3 linked regions of the Schizosaccharomyces pombe genome follow. The protein of the gene in region 2 binds, or shares a complex with, the protein of the main gene of each other region. Each region holds a gene or a part of one and is shown on either strand. Other genes may lie near its edges.

The links. Proteins that work in one complex are often made in the same cells at the same time.
Region 1: SPOM_SPBC16A3.14 (region 2) and mrp51 share a complex: the UniProt entries of both Schizosaccharomyces pombe proteins name them as parts of the mitochondrial small ribosomal subunit.
Region 3: SPOM_SPBC16A3.14 (region 2) and rsm10 share a complex: the UniProt entries of both Schizosaccharomyces pombe proteins name them as parts of the mitochondrial small ribosomal subunit.

Annotation. Positions count from the first base shown.
Region 1 is NC_003424.3:4,110,582-4,115,603, reverse strand, and holds mrp51 (mitochondrial 37S ribosomal protein bS1m), read left to right. Parts: upstream 1-1,945; 5' UTR 1,946-2,007; coding exon 2,008-2,919; 3' UTR 2,920-3,634; downstream 3,635-5,022. Other genes in the region: RecQ type DNA helicase Hrq1, read left to right, coding at 1-1,495, 1,671-1,789; bbc1 (SH3 domain-containing protein), read right to left, coding at 3,942-5,022. UniProt on the Schizosaccharomyces pombe protein: Component of the mitochondrial ribosome (mitoribosome), a dedicated translation machinery responsible for the synthesis of mitochondrial genome-encoded proteins, including at least some of the essential transmembrane subunits of the mitochondrial respiratory chain.
Region 2 is NC_003423.3:4,268,715-4,273,849, reverse strand, and holds SPOM_SPBC16A3.14 (mitochondrial ribosomal protein subunit S26), read left to right. Parts: upstream 1-1,817; 5' UTR 1,818-1,912; coding exon 1,913-2,719; 3' UTR 2,720-2,859; downstream 2,860-5,135. Other genes in the region: meu7 (alpha-amylase 4), read left to right, coding at 1-1,509; nda2 (tubulin alpha 1), read right to left, coding at 3,402-4,714, 4,805-4,859. UniProt on the Schizosaccharomyces pombe protein: Component of the mitochondrial ribosome (mitoribosome), a dedicated translation machinery responsible for the synthesis of mitochondrial genome-encoded proteins, including at least some of the essential transmembrane subunits of the mitochondrial respiratory chain.
Region 3 is NC_003423.3:3,868,288-3,874,208, forward strand, and holds rsm10 (mitochondrial 37S ribosomal protein uS10m), read left to right. Parts: upstream 1-1,880; 5' UTR 1,881-2,005; coding exon 2,006-2,085; intron 2,086-2,151; coding exon 2,152-2,758; 3' UTR 2,759-2,920; coding exon of another isoform or gene 2,921-4,477; 3' UTR 4,478-4,533; downstream 4,534-5,921. Other genes in the region: mri1 (methylthioribose-1-phosphate isomerase), read right to left, coding at 1-314; protein Cwf3, read right to left, coding at 2,921-4,477, 4,536-5,351. UniProt on the Schizosaccharomyces pombe protein: Component of the mitochondrial ribosome (mitoribosome), a dedicated translation machinery responsible for the synthesis of mitochondrial genome-encoded proteins, including at least some of the essential transmembrane subunits of the mitochondrial respiratory chain.

The DNA.
Region 1 (5,022 bases), on a different chromosome or scaffold from region 2:
AAGCATCCTGATGATGGAAAGAAAAGCGCAATCTCTGAAGCCTCGAAACTGCTTATTAAATTTGCCGAAAAGCGGGTGCGTACAATTGTTTTCTGTCGTGTTCGAAAAACCTGTGAGTCGTTAATGAGACTAGTGAGGCAGGAATTAAAAACCAAACAAAAAGGAGATCTTTTATCTAAGATTCAATCGTATAGGGCTGGGTATACGGTTCAGGAACGCAGGAAGATAGAGAGTGAAATGTTTAACGGGAAATTATATGGGATTATTGCGACGAATGCTTTAGAGCTAGGTATTGATATAGGATCACTGGATGCCGTTATAACCATAGGATTTCCATATTCTTTGTCTAACTTGCGCCAGCAATTTGGTCGTGCTGGTAGAAGGAATAAGTCTTCCTTAGCAGTATATATAGTTGAGACATTTCCCGTTGATCAGTTTTATTTAAAGCATCCTATTTTGATTCACACTCAACCAAATGCTGAACTCACTTTAGACTTGACAAATGAGGTATTACTAGCGAGTCATCTTCAGTGTGCTGCATATGAGCTTCCCATTAACATAAGGAGCGACGAAAAGTTTTTTGGAAATCAAATTCAAGACATTTGCGAAGCAAATTTAGAAATGGTTGAAGAGAGTTATCGGCCTCATCCAAAATATCTTCCTTTTCCTGCCTCGCAGGTACGGATACGAAGCGTTAGTGAAGACATGTTTACTCTCGTCGATGTCACAAATGATAAGAATGTTATTCTAGAACTCCTCGAACCTTTTCGTGTTGCATTAACTGCTTACGAAGGTGCAGTTTATGTTTATCAAGGAAAAACGTTTATCATTAGGCTCCTAAATATTAACAAGAGAATTATTACTGCTCATCAAGTTGATGTTGAATGGTCAACATTGCAAAGAGATTTCACAGATGTTGATCCTGTTCGCAGCTTAATGAAGAAGACTATGCATGGAAGTACAAACATTTATTTTGGGGCTGTTAAAGCAACATTACATGTATTTGGGTATTTCAAAGTTAACAAGCAGAAAGATATTCTGGACGTGGTAGATATTACCGATCATCCTGTTGAAATTGATAGTCGAGGTTTCTGGATAGATGTACCTTGGCATATCATTGAGGTTTTGTCATTAAAAAAAATAAATGGAGCCGCTAGTATACATGCTGCCCAACATGCTTTACTTTCGTTGATGCCAATTTTTATTAGTAACAGCGGTAACGATATTCGAACAGAATGTAAAGCGGGTGAAAAGGAGTATAAAGAGGCTAAAAGCGAGCGAAGACGTCCTTCCCGACTCATTTTCTATGATAATTGTGGTGATTCATCTGGTGCTGGTTTATGCAACAAGGCATATGAACATACTGATGAATTAATTACAATGGCCATTGAGCGAATTGAGAGTTGCGATTGCAAAGTTCGTGAAGGTTGTCCCGGATGTATTACGAGTTCAAAATTTGAAGGCGGAGTTTGCTCTGGAGAAGTACTTGACAAGGGTAAGTATAGATATACTTTGCATTTTTTGTTGGACGGTGAAGCAATCCCGTATAGATTGGTCGCTTAGTAGTTTGTAAGATAACACTCTCATTTTTTTTATGATCAAATGAAAAGGGATTGCTTGCAAACTTAAATAGATTATTCACATTACTTCTACTAACATATTTCTTTCAGTTGGCGCTTTAATCTTATTGAAAATGCTACTGTGTCAACATGTAAATTTAGATATATATGCTGATGGACCAGAGATTGATTCATATCACGCTTTGCGAACTTTAATACCTTCTTGTTAATAATTGAATTTATTTTTTTTATTTTGTTTATATTAGACTAAATTATTAGTTAGTACTACTAATATTGCGTTGTGCTTTTTGATTTTACATTTAAACCCTACCCTAACTTACCGGAGTCAATGTTAGATACTGACAGCGCTCAGTGCTTACTACCGTACAGCCACCGTTCTCCTCATAGAAGCCAAGTCCCAATATAAATCTTGAATTTTTGTAAAAATATGAGTTTTGCACAAATTCTCCGTGGCTCGAGGGCAATGGCTTCTCCAAAATGTCTTCCAGAATCCAATTATTCAACATCACACCTTCGGTTTCCTCGATTGCAATCCATAACTTCAAAAAAAAATAGTAGAGCTCGTGGTGATTGGGGACTGAAAAGGACTCTTCCAAAAATAAAGACAAGATACATATGTGTGCGGCAGCAAGATTCCTTATACAAGCAAGCAGATTTTCAATCAAGCGCTAAATTTGTTCGTCTAGTTCGCAATTGGTTTGATGCTGGATTTGTACGAGATCCTTCTGAAGTTGCTTTGTTGCAAGAATTATTGAAAGAAACGGGGTTGAAAGATACGCGTGACATAAATAAGGTATTTTCTCCTTCTAAACAATCCGACGAAAATGATAACTTTCGCCGTTACGGAGTTTCTGGCGGTATTCAATACAGTAATGTTCCTTTAATTAATTCTCGAGTAACACCTAATTGTGAATCAAATTGTTCCAATATTCGACGTCGACTTACGGCCCATATAATTAGTTCAGATGCCTCTACTGCATACTACGGTTTAGGGGGCTTGATTCTGAGGCTACCTCGAACAGTTGTCTTTAATAGAAATCGGTCATCTCCCCTCTTTTCCCAGGAACAGCGCATTTCTTATACAGTCTATAAAAATGGTCGACTCCGACTAGTTCCCTTTTCCGGTCCCGAGTTAGAAACACATCTTGCCTATCCCTCGGAAGACTCGGAGGTTGAATCGTTTTTTAACAGAGATATTCAATTGGTAGCCAAAAGAGATTCATCTCTCGATGCTCCCGTATCCTATCAACGGGGTATTATGAAATTTTTTATGGCTCCCTCTCAAACCTCAAATAATGAAGCTAATTCCTCAGAGAAAGATAACCTCTCTAATTCGTAGAGGACTTTATGATCATGTGCATTTATGCTATCTCCTTATGGTTTACTCGATTTTAAGTTGCATTTAACAACCTATCATTTTTATTATTAAGAAGGTTCGTTTAAGTCTCCTATATTCTGTTGTTATCCCACAGTACAATCTACCACTAGCAATAATCTTAACGACATACGATTCTCCTTTAAAAAATCTTTCAATCTATTTATTCTTACTTCTCTTTGTGTGGCATCAAATTCTTGTACCAATAATGGGTCTATTGCTTCAAATGACTCTTACACTTTCCATTTGTTTCCCTATTTACTAGTTTACCCTAAACTGCGTTTTGCACTTGACGGTTGTTCATTTTGGTGAACAGTCATAACACTTGAACTGAATGTGTTTTCTAAGAAGTTTGTTTGGTTTGCAATGTTACATCCTTGTTCTCTGGGTGTTAGTGAAAGTCACTCTCGTTAATCTTGACTAGGTATATATTTCAGTTAACCGTTATTTTCGGTTTCACCTCGAAATAAATGTTTTTTGTTGATTATATAAGCGCAAGCGTTTGAAAAAAGAGTTAGAATTTTGTAAAGGATTTTTTTTTTCCGAAATTGTCTTTAAGTACAGTTCAATAACTTACAAAATCTTATCCTTTTACCATACATTGTTAATTGTGCATTTCAACTGTTTAATTAGATATAACTGATTATTAGCATATACTATAAAAATGACTGTAGATGTGTATATATATTTCAAAAGTTGAATCACATAGCCCAATCTTTGGTATATATGTGAATATAATTCAGCAAACAACTTCCACGAGATATAAGTCTTCTAAAAACATAGGGCGTGTCGTCAAAAAATGATATAAATAATCCCAATCGTCAAAGATATATCAGTGAAAGAATATACTGACAGACGATCATTAAGGACTATTCAAATCTGCTTCGCAATTGAACAATTTAAAAAAATGAGTGCTGCTCTTTAGGAAGTTTGAGTTATTTGTGATAAAATGATAAGAACTTAAAACCATAGTAAAATAATTACCATTAATTCCAACCAAGCCAAGATCGACGCATTACACGCCACACAGTAACTTCTCCACTCTTTAAATCACCGAATTTGTAGCTTGCAACTGAAACCTTCTTGGACTCTCTGCCTTGTTCCAACACCCTAATCTTCAGTTTCGAAACATCCCACTCTGATATGATACCATAATGCATGGGCTTACCAACTTCAAGAGAGTATTTTGAACGAAGAGTACCTTTTTGTCCACTAAATTTAGCCTTATCAAATGTAACTATATCACCTGGGCGAATCTCACCAATTTGTTGCACAGTAACATTTCCAACATTCTTGTAAATCACACCTCCAAAAGTCTGTTTGTTTATAGGTTCGAGATTATGCGCCAGTATCGACATAACGGAATTAACAAAAGTGAATGCAGAACCATCACCAACCATGCTACCTTGGTAAGCTCGGGCTTTTTTCAAAATTGTAGAGCCATAACAAGCATATTCCTCATCTAATCTAGCTTTTGAAGGCTGTGCTGGTGGAGCTAGTTGAAGTTGAGATAATTGTGTAATATTTTGGTTATGTGGGTTGAATGTAGCTGTCAAGACTGTTTGGCTGTAGTCAGGGAACAGTATGTGTACAGACTTGTATTTTTTATCTTGCCCTGTAATTCCTTCTTTTATCATATATAGAACAGAGTCATTCATCTGCACTACGGATTTAGGAACAGCAGTAGAATTCAGCCACCATTTCTCAGAAGCGCAAGGCTCAACCGGCTTTGCAGAAAAGCTTTCGTTAAAAGGTCCAGTAGTAGAGACAATAGAAGGTTTCTTACTAGCTCTACTCGAAGAGCGCGAAAGATGTCGATGAAGAGATTTACGACTGTCTTGATGCGCTAATGACGTACGAGTAGAAGATGAATCAGCATGTCCTTCATTGTGATGATGATGGTGTTCTCCAGACTTTGAAGACTTACGACTGCTTGTCGATGTTTCATGCCTTTCAGCTTTAGATTTCGACCTTGAAACTGAAGTACGTGCTGGAGCAGCAGAAGCCATAGAAGAAGAAGTTGGAGAAGGTGAGGCATTCGAGTGTGGCGACGGAACCGAAGATCTT
Region 2 (5,135 bases):
GGAACCAAGCCTGATCATAAACCCTGGAAGCACGAGGAACACTGCCATCACGGTAAGTTTCCCCGTCCAATTCCTCACAATGGAACCAAGCCTGACCATAAACCCTGGAAGCACGAGGAACACTGCCATCACGGTAGGTTCCCTCGTCCAGTTCCCCACAATGGAACCAAGCCCGATCACAAGCCATGGAAGCACGAGGAACACTGCTCATGCCATCATGATAAGTTCTCTCGCCCAGTTCCTCATAATGGAACCAAGCCTGACCACAAACCTTGGAAGCACGAGGAACACTGCCACCATGGTAAGTTCCTTCGTCCAGTTCCTCACAATGTAACCAAGCCTGACCATAAACCCTGGAAGCACGAGGAACACTGCCATCACGGTAAGTTCCCTCGTCCAGTTCCCCACAATGGAACCAAGCCCGATCACAAGCCTTGGAAGCACGAGGAACACTGCTCTTGCCATGAAGACCATTCAGTTCATGAGCGTCCTAGTGCTAAAGGGGCTCTCGAGGACTATATTCAAACATTTGTAGAAACTTTCCAAATTGATGGTATTCGTTTCGATGCTATGGGTGACAAATATAGAAAGTACTGGCCAGATTTTTGCAAAGCTGCTGGAGTGTTTTGCATGGGTGACTTGAAATCTTCCGACTCTTTAAAAGTTTGTGATTGGCAAAACGACTTGGAAGGGTTGAGTAACTTCCCTGTTAGAGAATCTGCTGTAAAAGCATTTTTGATGAATAATCCAGAGGGAATTGTTGATCTTGCCGACAAAATGACTGACATGCGCGGTTTGTGTGTCAATCCCCTATTGTTAGGAAACTTCGTTGAGAACAAAGACCTTCCTAGAATGGCTTCAATTTCTAGTGATCCAGCCACCTTAAAGAATGCAATTGCTTTTGTTCTTATGGGAGATGGTATTCCTATGATGTACAACGGCCAAGAACTTGCCATGCGCGGTGAAGAGGTTCCTTATAATCGACCTGCAATTTGGGAGAAAGGTTTCCCAAAAAGAAATCCTTACTATAAGTTCACGTCTACAATCAATCGTTTCCGCAAAGCTATGATTGAAAGCAAAGACGGAGAAGCTTTCTTAAATATGCAGTCGGATATTAGCATCGTTGATAAAAGAATATTGCTTTTACGACGTGGCAAAGTAATAACCGTACTCAACAACTTAGGTTCATATTACATTCATTTCCATTATACTGTTTCGGCAGAAGAGCACAAGTGGATGGACGTATTATCTTGCAAGTCCGTTCCAGTACAAGATAATCGACAGGTATTTATGGTACGCAACGGTGAACCCATGATCTTGTACCCAGAGGAATCGGCTTATGAGATGGGATTGTGCCCATCTCCAATTCAGCTTACTGAAGATTATAACAGTGAAGGTTCTCTCTCCATTAACGTTGAAGAAGCCCAAACATCAAAGGCACCAGAGCAAAATCGAGGATTTACCAATGTCCTCGCCGCTCTTTTATTATCTTTGTTAATGATTTTGTAGGTATACGTTCCTTGAAATCTAATAATATACAGATTTTTTATTTTACATAAACCTTTTTCATATAAAGTATGATGACTTAGTTTACAGACCCATAGGGCTCTGTACTGAAGTTCATGAACGATAAGTCACCTCAATATAAATAATAGACGGGTAAATCCATTTTAATTTTTGGCTTTAAATTACAAAGTACTCAAGTAAAGCTTTAGCCAAAAAAATTTAAACTCCCATAATGATATCCGACGCAAACCGTCCAAACGTATTCATAATTGCGGTGGTGTGGCTAACTTGTATTTGACACAAGGCGAGCTGCGATACCCAAACACGTCCAGTTCCCTTAAATACTTCGTTGTTGGTTTATATAGGTATTTCAGCAAGTTATACCTAATATTCAGATAATTTGCTTATGCTCAACACAGGTCTACGAAAAGGGCTTGCGCTTTCACCGATAACTCACCTTCTGAAACGATGTAGTTCAGTTACAGACAATGTGCATCGAGTAAACTATTGCTACAATTACCACACAGTTCCTAATCTTTCACAAAGAAATTTGCTACCACTTTTCAGTCCTGAAGCTCTTGACATTGCCTGGGACCAGCATCAACGTCAAGTAGTAAAAGAATTAAATGATCGAGTGAAGGGAACAGAACTTGAGGATTCATCTGTGTTTAACATTATCTTTCAAACAGCCGCTTTGCCTGAGCATGCAGCCACATTCCAGTTTGCAAGTCAAGCTTACAACAATCATTTCTTTTTTCAAAGCTTGATCGGAAAAAGAGCTGCAGATGCCAAAAAAAACTCAAAATATGAAGCTAATGCCGCTATCAATAAAGCAGTCAATGAAAACTTTGGTTCTAAAGAAAATTTACTTTCTAAAATTCATGAGCTTGCCTCAAATAGTTTTGGAGCATGTTGGCTTTGGATTGTAATTGATGATTATAATAGATTAAACTTACTGAGAACTTTTCAAGCAGGTTCTCCGTATCTTTGGACTAGATGGCAATCAAATGATCCCCATCTTATTTCTAGTGTGCCAGATTATAGTGCCAGACCTCGAAAATATGCGCATGTTCCCATTTTAAACCTTTGTTTATGGAATCATGCATATTATAAAGATTACGGTCTTTTAAATCGCTCAAGATACATCGACACATGGTTTGATTGCATAGATTGGTCTGTCATTGAGGAAAGATTGACTAATTCTTTGGTATGAAAGAAAGGTGCAATCAATTTAGATAATTATATCTCATCACAATCTTGTTATGATTTTAAAAAAACGCCTTTTTCTACTTTCACCTTATAAATTTCATTCTAATTTTAATAAAAATTGTGTTTTCTCTACTCGTCCTTGAAACTTCTACAGTAGACTGTTTTGGCTCATGCTCGTATTCTAAATGATTTTAGGCTAATTCCGAGCAATCGAGTCATATAAGTTAAGTAATTTATTAACCAATTAACCGATTTATTGCTTAGAGGTTGAGATTAAAAACATTTTTTTTGTAAAGCTAGAAAAGCGCCAATACACAATGTAATTTACAGTTTATAGTGTCTCTTTTTCATGCAAAATTAAAAAAAAAAGATACCACAGAAAGGAGAAATTGAAATTTTACTGGTGGTTTATTTGCAAAGATAGAGTGGATTAGATTGATATCTAAATGAGAATTGACTAGTAAAGAAAAAGAATGTTCAAGTTAAAAAATCAGTGAGATAAGTGGACGAGCAATTTATCTCCTTGCCGCTGGGTGAACATTTTAACTCTCAAAGAAAGACAGACACCCTTTAGTTATTTGACCACAGGGCTGAATAAACAAAGATTAAAGAGACAAGGGTAGATGCAAGATATCTTCAAGTTATAAAACGAATGAAATAACGTATAAAAGCGATTATTGGATAAATTAATACTCTTCGTCAGCTTCGTACATTTCGTTATCCATAGAATCTTGACCAACCTCTTCGTAATCCCTTTCTAAGGCAGCCAAATCTTCTCTGGCTTCTGAAAATTCACCTTCTTCCATACCTTCACCGACATACCAATGAACAAAAGCACGCTTGCTGTACATAAGGTCAAACTTGTGGTCCAGACGAGACCAAGCTTCAGCAATCGAGGTGGTATTTGAAAGCATACAAACAGCACGATTTACCTTAGCGATTCCACTACCAGGAACGTGTTGGGGTGGCTCATAGCAAATACCGATTTTGAAACCAGTAGGGCACCAATCAACAAATTGGATGGTGCGACGAGATTTAATGCTAGTAACGGCAGCCTGGACATCACGTGGGATAACATCACCACGATACAAAAGACAAGTAGCCATATAGCGGCCAGTTCGTGGATCACATTTTACCATTTGATTATAAGGCTCAAAGCACTGATTCGTAATCTCTTGTACGCTGTTGGATTCATGGAATGCTTTAGCTGCACTGACAATAGGAGAATAAGTGACTAAAGGAAAGTGAATACGAGGGTATGGCACAAGATTAGTTTGAAACTCATTTAAGTCAACATTTAAGCTACCAGCAAATCGAAGAGAAGCGGTGATAGAAGAGACAACTTGAGCAATAAGGCGGTTGAGGTTTTCATAGGTTGGACGCTCAATGTCAAGATTTCGGCGACAGATATCGTAACAAGCCTCATTATCAACCATAAAGGTACAGTCAGAGTTATCGAGAGTAGCATGGGTAGTGAGCACAGAGTTGTAAGGTTCAACAACGGATGTGCTCACTTGAGGGGCGGGATAAACAGAAAATTGGAGGTTAGATTTCTTTCCGTATTCCATGTTCAAGCGCTCCAGAAGTAAAGCACCCAAACCCGAGCCGGTACCACCACCAAAAGAATGAAATACAAGGAAACCTTGGAGACCAGAACAATTGTCAGCCATACGACGTATCCTTTCTAATACACTATCAATCATTTCCTTTCCTACAGTATAATGTCCACGGGCGTAATTGTTAGAAGCATCTTCCTTACCAGTTACCATCTGTTCAGGATGAAACAGATCTTTATACGGTCCAGTACGAACTTGATCAATAACGTTAGGCTCAAGATCAACATAGATACTTCTAGGTACGAATTTTCCTTGCCCGGTTTCAGAAAAAAATGTACCGAATCCATCATTTAAATAGCTATTGTTTTTGTGAACTTCGGAGTTTTCTGTAGGAAAACCGTCGGGTCCTATGCCATGCTCCAAACAGTACAACTCCCAGCATGCTAGAAATGTTAGCTAAATTTTTTATGAAAAAATCGATTGCCAACTATTTAGAGTATACAGCAATACAAAAAGATGGATATTGAACATACCGTTACCGATTTGAACACCTGCTTGTCCAACATGAACAGAAATTACTTCTCTCATAATTTGTGATAATAACGAATGTAAATGCAACTAAACGCGCTACACAAGACGTTTTGGTTGCAAACTTAGGTTGTTTGTCAAGGGAGAGCGTAGGTACTCCAAGTCATGAGTAGGAAATAACGAAAAACGAATGAACTCGTAAAGCACTAAGGAGGGAAGTTTATGCAATGAGGTTCCAAAACTCATACCATGCAAATAACATAATGTTTTATAAAGAAGTAATATAAGTAGTATTCATTAATATTCTTGCAATGATCAATTTTCGAATTTTTCTGT
Region 3 (5,921 bases), 400 kb from region 2:
AGAGCAATGCCTTGCATAAACTTTGCAGTTTCAAAAAGATTGACAGCGGTAGGACGAGACTGTTTGAGATGCTCAAAGCTATTTATAACATATTCTTTTGCATCTGCATCTTCAGAAAGATGTTTTAATCCGACAGCCACACTCAAAGCTGCTACAATAGCAATAGCTGGGGCCCCACGAACTTGCATTTTTTTTATGACAGCGAATGCGTCTTCTACATTACTAACTGAAATGTATTTACGCTCGTACGGAAGAAGTAATTGGTCTAATACAAGAAGCTTGTCCTCATTATAAATGATTGCTTGCAACGACATTCTGCCCAAATTTTTGAATATCTCTGCCTTTGAAAACTTTTACTTCACTAGCGCACGAACGCACATGCATCAGATAAAATTAAAGGATTTGATGAAGCTCGTAGCGATGCATTAATAGAAATAATGAATTAATATAAAGTTACACTGTGTAGTTTACTTAGGAACAAAAAATAGTACATTAAGTTTAATATAAATTTATAAGAAGAGTTAACGCAGTCTTTCGTACTTTTGACACTGCTTATAGATAGATAAAATTAGCAACCCTAACTTAATATTGTGCTTCTTATTTATCCGCACTATTTGATATGCATCTAACATTTTGAACGCGTAAACAAAAAATTTAGACTCATTCAAAGATGTAAGTTCCATCGTCAAATTATATTACCAAGTTATTTTGATAATGAGTATGGTGCCTTGAATTATAGATTAAAAAATGTATCACCGAATTTATTTTTAATAATGAGTCGATCTGACATATTAGAATCAAGGAATAATAATATGCATTGATGTTTTATGAAGGAATTACAGCTGTAGAACCTATGTATACAAACTTCAAACTTTTAAAGATGAGAACGATATATTTTTTTCGTTTTCCAGAAAAGCCATGCTTGAAGTATTTATCAAGATGTTCGGTAGTGTCAATTTAATAATCATATGTGCGACTTTGACTTTGACATGCAGCAAGAAGTTGTTGACACCAACCTATCTGCTTGAAAAGTGATACTCGTTTGCAATACTTAAATATATATATATATATATCAGTGATCGCAAGTCAGTTTTGAATGCAGGATTGGTAAACAAGGGTCGCAAGTTAATATATTTATATAGCTGTCTGCTGTAACAGTTTAACATACAACCTTGAAACTGTAAAACATTGAATATTTTTCATTGTTAAAGCCAATTTAAATGAGAACGATTATTGTGTTACGAGGTAAGCATTTAATTCCAAAATCCCTATGTATTCTTGTAGTATAAAGTAATTTGAATGACAAATCAGTAGATTCTTCCATAATTGCAAGTAGGATGCCAGTCCCAAACCTTTAATTCCTAGCTCAAAAGCACAATTGTTCAGTTCACACTTTTGTTAACTTCCGGAATTTGTTATTGTAAAATAATTGTCTCCTCATAATTTTAAAAAATTACATCTCATTGCTGACTGAGAACTCTCATCATACTGGTCAATTTTAAATTGTGCTGAAAGCCTTATAATCACAAATATTCATGTTTAATCGAATTTTTTTGGTTTTCTTCACTATGGTGCATCAATAATATTTTTAGTACAGTACAATCACACCCACCTTTGAATTCTAAACTTTGACCTTCAAATGCAAATAAAAAATTTATAGTTAGATCGTTCCATCATAGTATAAATTACAGAATGATATTGCTTTTTTAAAATAAATGTTACCATCTACGTGTTTTTCAAGGTATTCACGCGCGAACGACATTTAAAATGATTTCGCTCCGCTTGTTTATGTTCAATTAAAACATTGATTAATAACCCCTTAGTCCTACGATAATTGTGTTAAACTGAATATGATGGTGGATGACAAGTGTAGCTCGACCATTACTCCCCACTCCAACCAAAAAATTTTGTTAAAAAAAAACACCTTTACAGTGTTTAATTGTTGGAATTTTGTTCTTGTGGTTTTCTTAACAAGTATTTTAAGTAACCGGCTAAAATATTAATCATGAAACGGTATATGTTTGGTACATTACCTCGCGTGCAACCGAAACGTTGTTTCCAGACAGCTATTGGCAAAGAATCACCGTATGTATTCAATCCTTTCCTCTAATTTAAGCTATAATTTTGTACATTCTAACCCCAATTTATTAGCAAAGGGAACAGCGAAAAGGATCAACTTTTTGAGAATCCATTTTTTCAACAGCTTCCTTCCAACGTTGCAGCTGTATATTTGAACCCTGTTAAATTCAATCCTTCTGAAAACGACGTACTTTGTGCTTCTCTAAAAATTAAAAGCTTTGAAACTCCAAAACTTGATACGTTTACCGACTTCATTTGTCGAACAGCGTATTACATGAAAATTCCAATCAAGGGTCCACGTCCATTACCCAACAAAGTAGAAAGCTGGACTTTACTCCGATCACCTTTTATTCACAAATCTTCTCAGGAGAATTTTGAACGTATTACGCACTCTCGACTTATACAACTGTACAGTGTCAATCCAGTTACTTTAGAAACGTTTTTTAGTTATTTACGAAAATGCAACATGTGGGATTTAAAATTGCAAGCAAAAGCTTATGAATACGAATCCATCGATGATGCCCTTAAAAACTTCGAGTCACAGTCTAAGTCTACTGATAATTTCAAAGAATTGTTAAACGGTCCTTCGAAAAAAGATATAATCACACAAAATGCCGAAAAATTGCTCAGAAACGACCCCATTTACAAAGATTTGTTAAAAAATTCATCTCGAAAATAAAAATTAACTAATGTGTTTTCAATTACTCTGATGTTGGACCGTTTATTAGCAAAAATACTCTGACTGTATTCGTACTTTTTTTTTTAACAATATGACACTAGCTTTTCTTCATTAAAAGTGTTCTTTAACTAAAAACGTTACGAATAGTCCACACTTGTTTCGTTAGTTTTCCTCACCAGTAATTTTTGAAGTTTCTTGGGGATTGCTTTTCGAAAGAACAAAACCCGCAAGTGCCTTAGGTCCTTCAGATTTTTCCATTTCAAGCTGTTCCATTGGATCCATTGGTGCTGCTGCACTTTCAATTTTAGCTGCTCTCTTCGCTATATGAAGGGAATCAGTGCTAAACTTAGTTTGTACAGACCGTTTAATACGAAGCATTTCTTTAACTGTTTCTTCTGGATTTCCGTACCTTATTTCAAATTCTTGCCATGCTTTCCAATAATCCGTTTCAACTCTTGGATCACAGTATTGACTTCCATGAATATATATTAAACGAGCACGATCGATTTCACCAAGTTTCGTCTCCATTTCAGCAAACCTTAAGCACATATCTTTGACTTCTGAGTCACTCAGGGATTCAATAGCCTTCTCATAAACTGTCCTTGTCGCCAGTACACCATAATTTAATGCCACTTTAACGAGTAACACATTGTAAATAGCAAGACGGTCTGCTGTTTTAACCTTGTCGGCCGCTTTTTCTAAAATAGAAATGGATCTTTTTGCTTTGCCAAACTTTTCTTCGAAATCGGCATACAGAAGATAAATACTTTTCGAAAATTCGGGCGGACATCCTTCTAATGCTTGTTCAAATAAATCCCTGGTCCTTTCCATATGCGTTCCTTGATATCGTTTAACAAATTTTGTTAAATATAAATTCCAAAGTTCAAAAGCCACGGGATAACTAAATAACGCAACACCTCTCTCATAAATTTTAAATGAATCTTCAAAATAAGCATTCTCCTCTAAGAGATTTGCATAATTGACAACCACCTGGGGAGTAGCAATTTTTAGTTCAAAGACGCGGTCGTACAATTTGCGTGTAGTTTCAATCGTACCAACGCTTTCCTCAAGATCAAGATAATACATCCATATCTTAGATGACTTGTGTAGCCGTACTTGTGGACTGAGTGATTCATCAAAAAAGCTGATATGACTTTTTCTAGGAGCATGAACGGCATCTCCTATTAATTTTCTCGCAGCGTCAAAATTTTGATGTCGAAGTTCCATCTCGGCCCAGTCAATCCAAACTTGTGCTAACTCATTGACTGTTTTATATGGTACATGAGTAGCCTTTTCAAAAATTATCCTTGATTGTTCTAAATCATCAAAATTTTCATAAAAACGAGCAAACTCTGAAAACAATTTGCCGAGGGAGCCATGCGCCAGCTTTGGATTTACATTTTTTATAGCGTCTGTGTAAACTTGAACAACTTTTTCGCTGTCGTCTTCTAAAAACTTGACTCGGCGAAGCCATTCGTCAACGTTATTTATATTTTGCCTTAATAATACATCATTGATATAAAGCGGACGTTTGTCAAGTATTTTCTCGAGCCAGGCCATATGAAAATCGATACTTAATTCGTCATTTGCATTTCCGCTGCTTGCTTCAACTCGTGCAGATAGCCATTGCTCTTCGAATTCAACAAAAGCATCGAATATAATTGTAAAATTTCTTACAGTCATTATGTTATTCATCCCTTCATAGAATGTGCTTCTTGCCTGTACGATAAGTTAGTTTTTGCAATAAGGGGTCAATAAACAAACCAGTTAAACATACCTTCTCGTAGTCACCAATGCGTATATAATATTGTGCCAAATAAGTCCATAGTTTCCCTGCTTGATCAGAAAACCTTTTAATGCCAGCTCTAAAAACCTTTTCTACGTCTATGTTTTGCGTATGGTCAGGATGCTGAACAACTAACTCGGAAAACTCGAGCCATATCTGATAATTGCTCTTCCTTTTTGCTGATAAAAACACGGGCCGATTTAAAATATCCTCATATTGTCGAGCAGCTTCATTCCACAGCCCTAATTTACAAAGTATCTCAATGTAGTTTTCAATTGCTCTTGGTTCTACTTGTATATATCTGCGGTAGACATGGATGCAAAATAATCCTCCAATATCTTCAGCATATTTCGTAAACATGTCCCAAATATCATCGTGCTGAGTTACCGGTAAGGCGCGAAGTGCAGAGTTAAATGTACAACGAATCTTAGTGACATTTGGTTGTTTCATCAAAAATTGTAAATATAGTTTCCAAATAACAGGCATTTTATGCAATAAAATCAAAGAGCGCTCAAAACAATCGTTTACAGAAGCAAAAGCTTCGGCATGAAAATATGGGTTCAAATGTTCAACATGCGCTACACGTAGTTCCAAATAGCTTTTCCATATTTTATAGCTTCCCGGGAGTTCTGAACAAGCTCTTTCAAATAAAAGCACACGCTTTTCCAAAGTAGATCCTTCATGGGTCTTTATATATCGTAACCAACTTTTCAGAGAATATGGATCACGTAGCAATTCAAGCTCAAACGGCTCGTCATCAACATTAATTAGATCAAAATTAACTTTCAGTGGAATAACATCTCCCATTTCTAATCCTTTTGATTGTTTTCTAAAGAAGCCCGATGTAGGCTGTTGTCGTGCATACAATAGACCTTGGGCAAGTGAAAAATATGAAGTTCAATTTTAACCCCATAAGATGAAACTTAATTGAGAAAGCACATTGCTTATAAGATATAAAACAAATAAATTACAGAATTAAAAGACTGTCTATATGCCCACCTCTAGGGAATTAAGCCAAAGTATGTTGATAAATCAGAGCTACAAAATACAGCCCTTCGATTTCTATTTCATTTGTTGTAAATCACTATCCATAACGACCTTCTGCTATTTAACTACCCTTATCAGTAAACCTCTTCTGTACTTCGAATTTATTCATTGATTGCTATATTCAAATTATATTTATACGAAACGCAAAATCGCTTCACCTGGTAGATATAAAGCTAATAGTGGTGCTAATGTGACTTTTGGTCATAAAAATTAACGAGTATTCAAACTAGTTATCACTAATTAGGAGCGGCAAAAACACTAATTGTACATATAATCAGCTTACAAAAATCACATCGAAATGCCTAAATCCTTGACTAATTGTTTGCAATA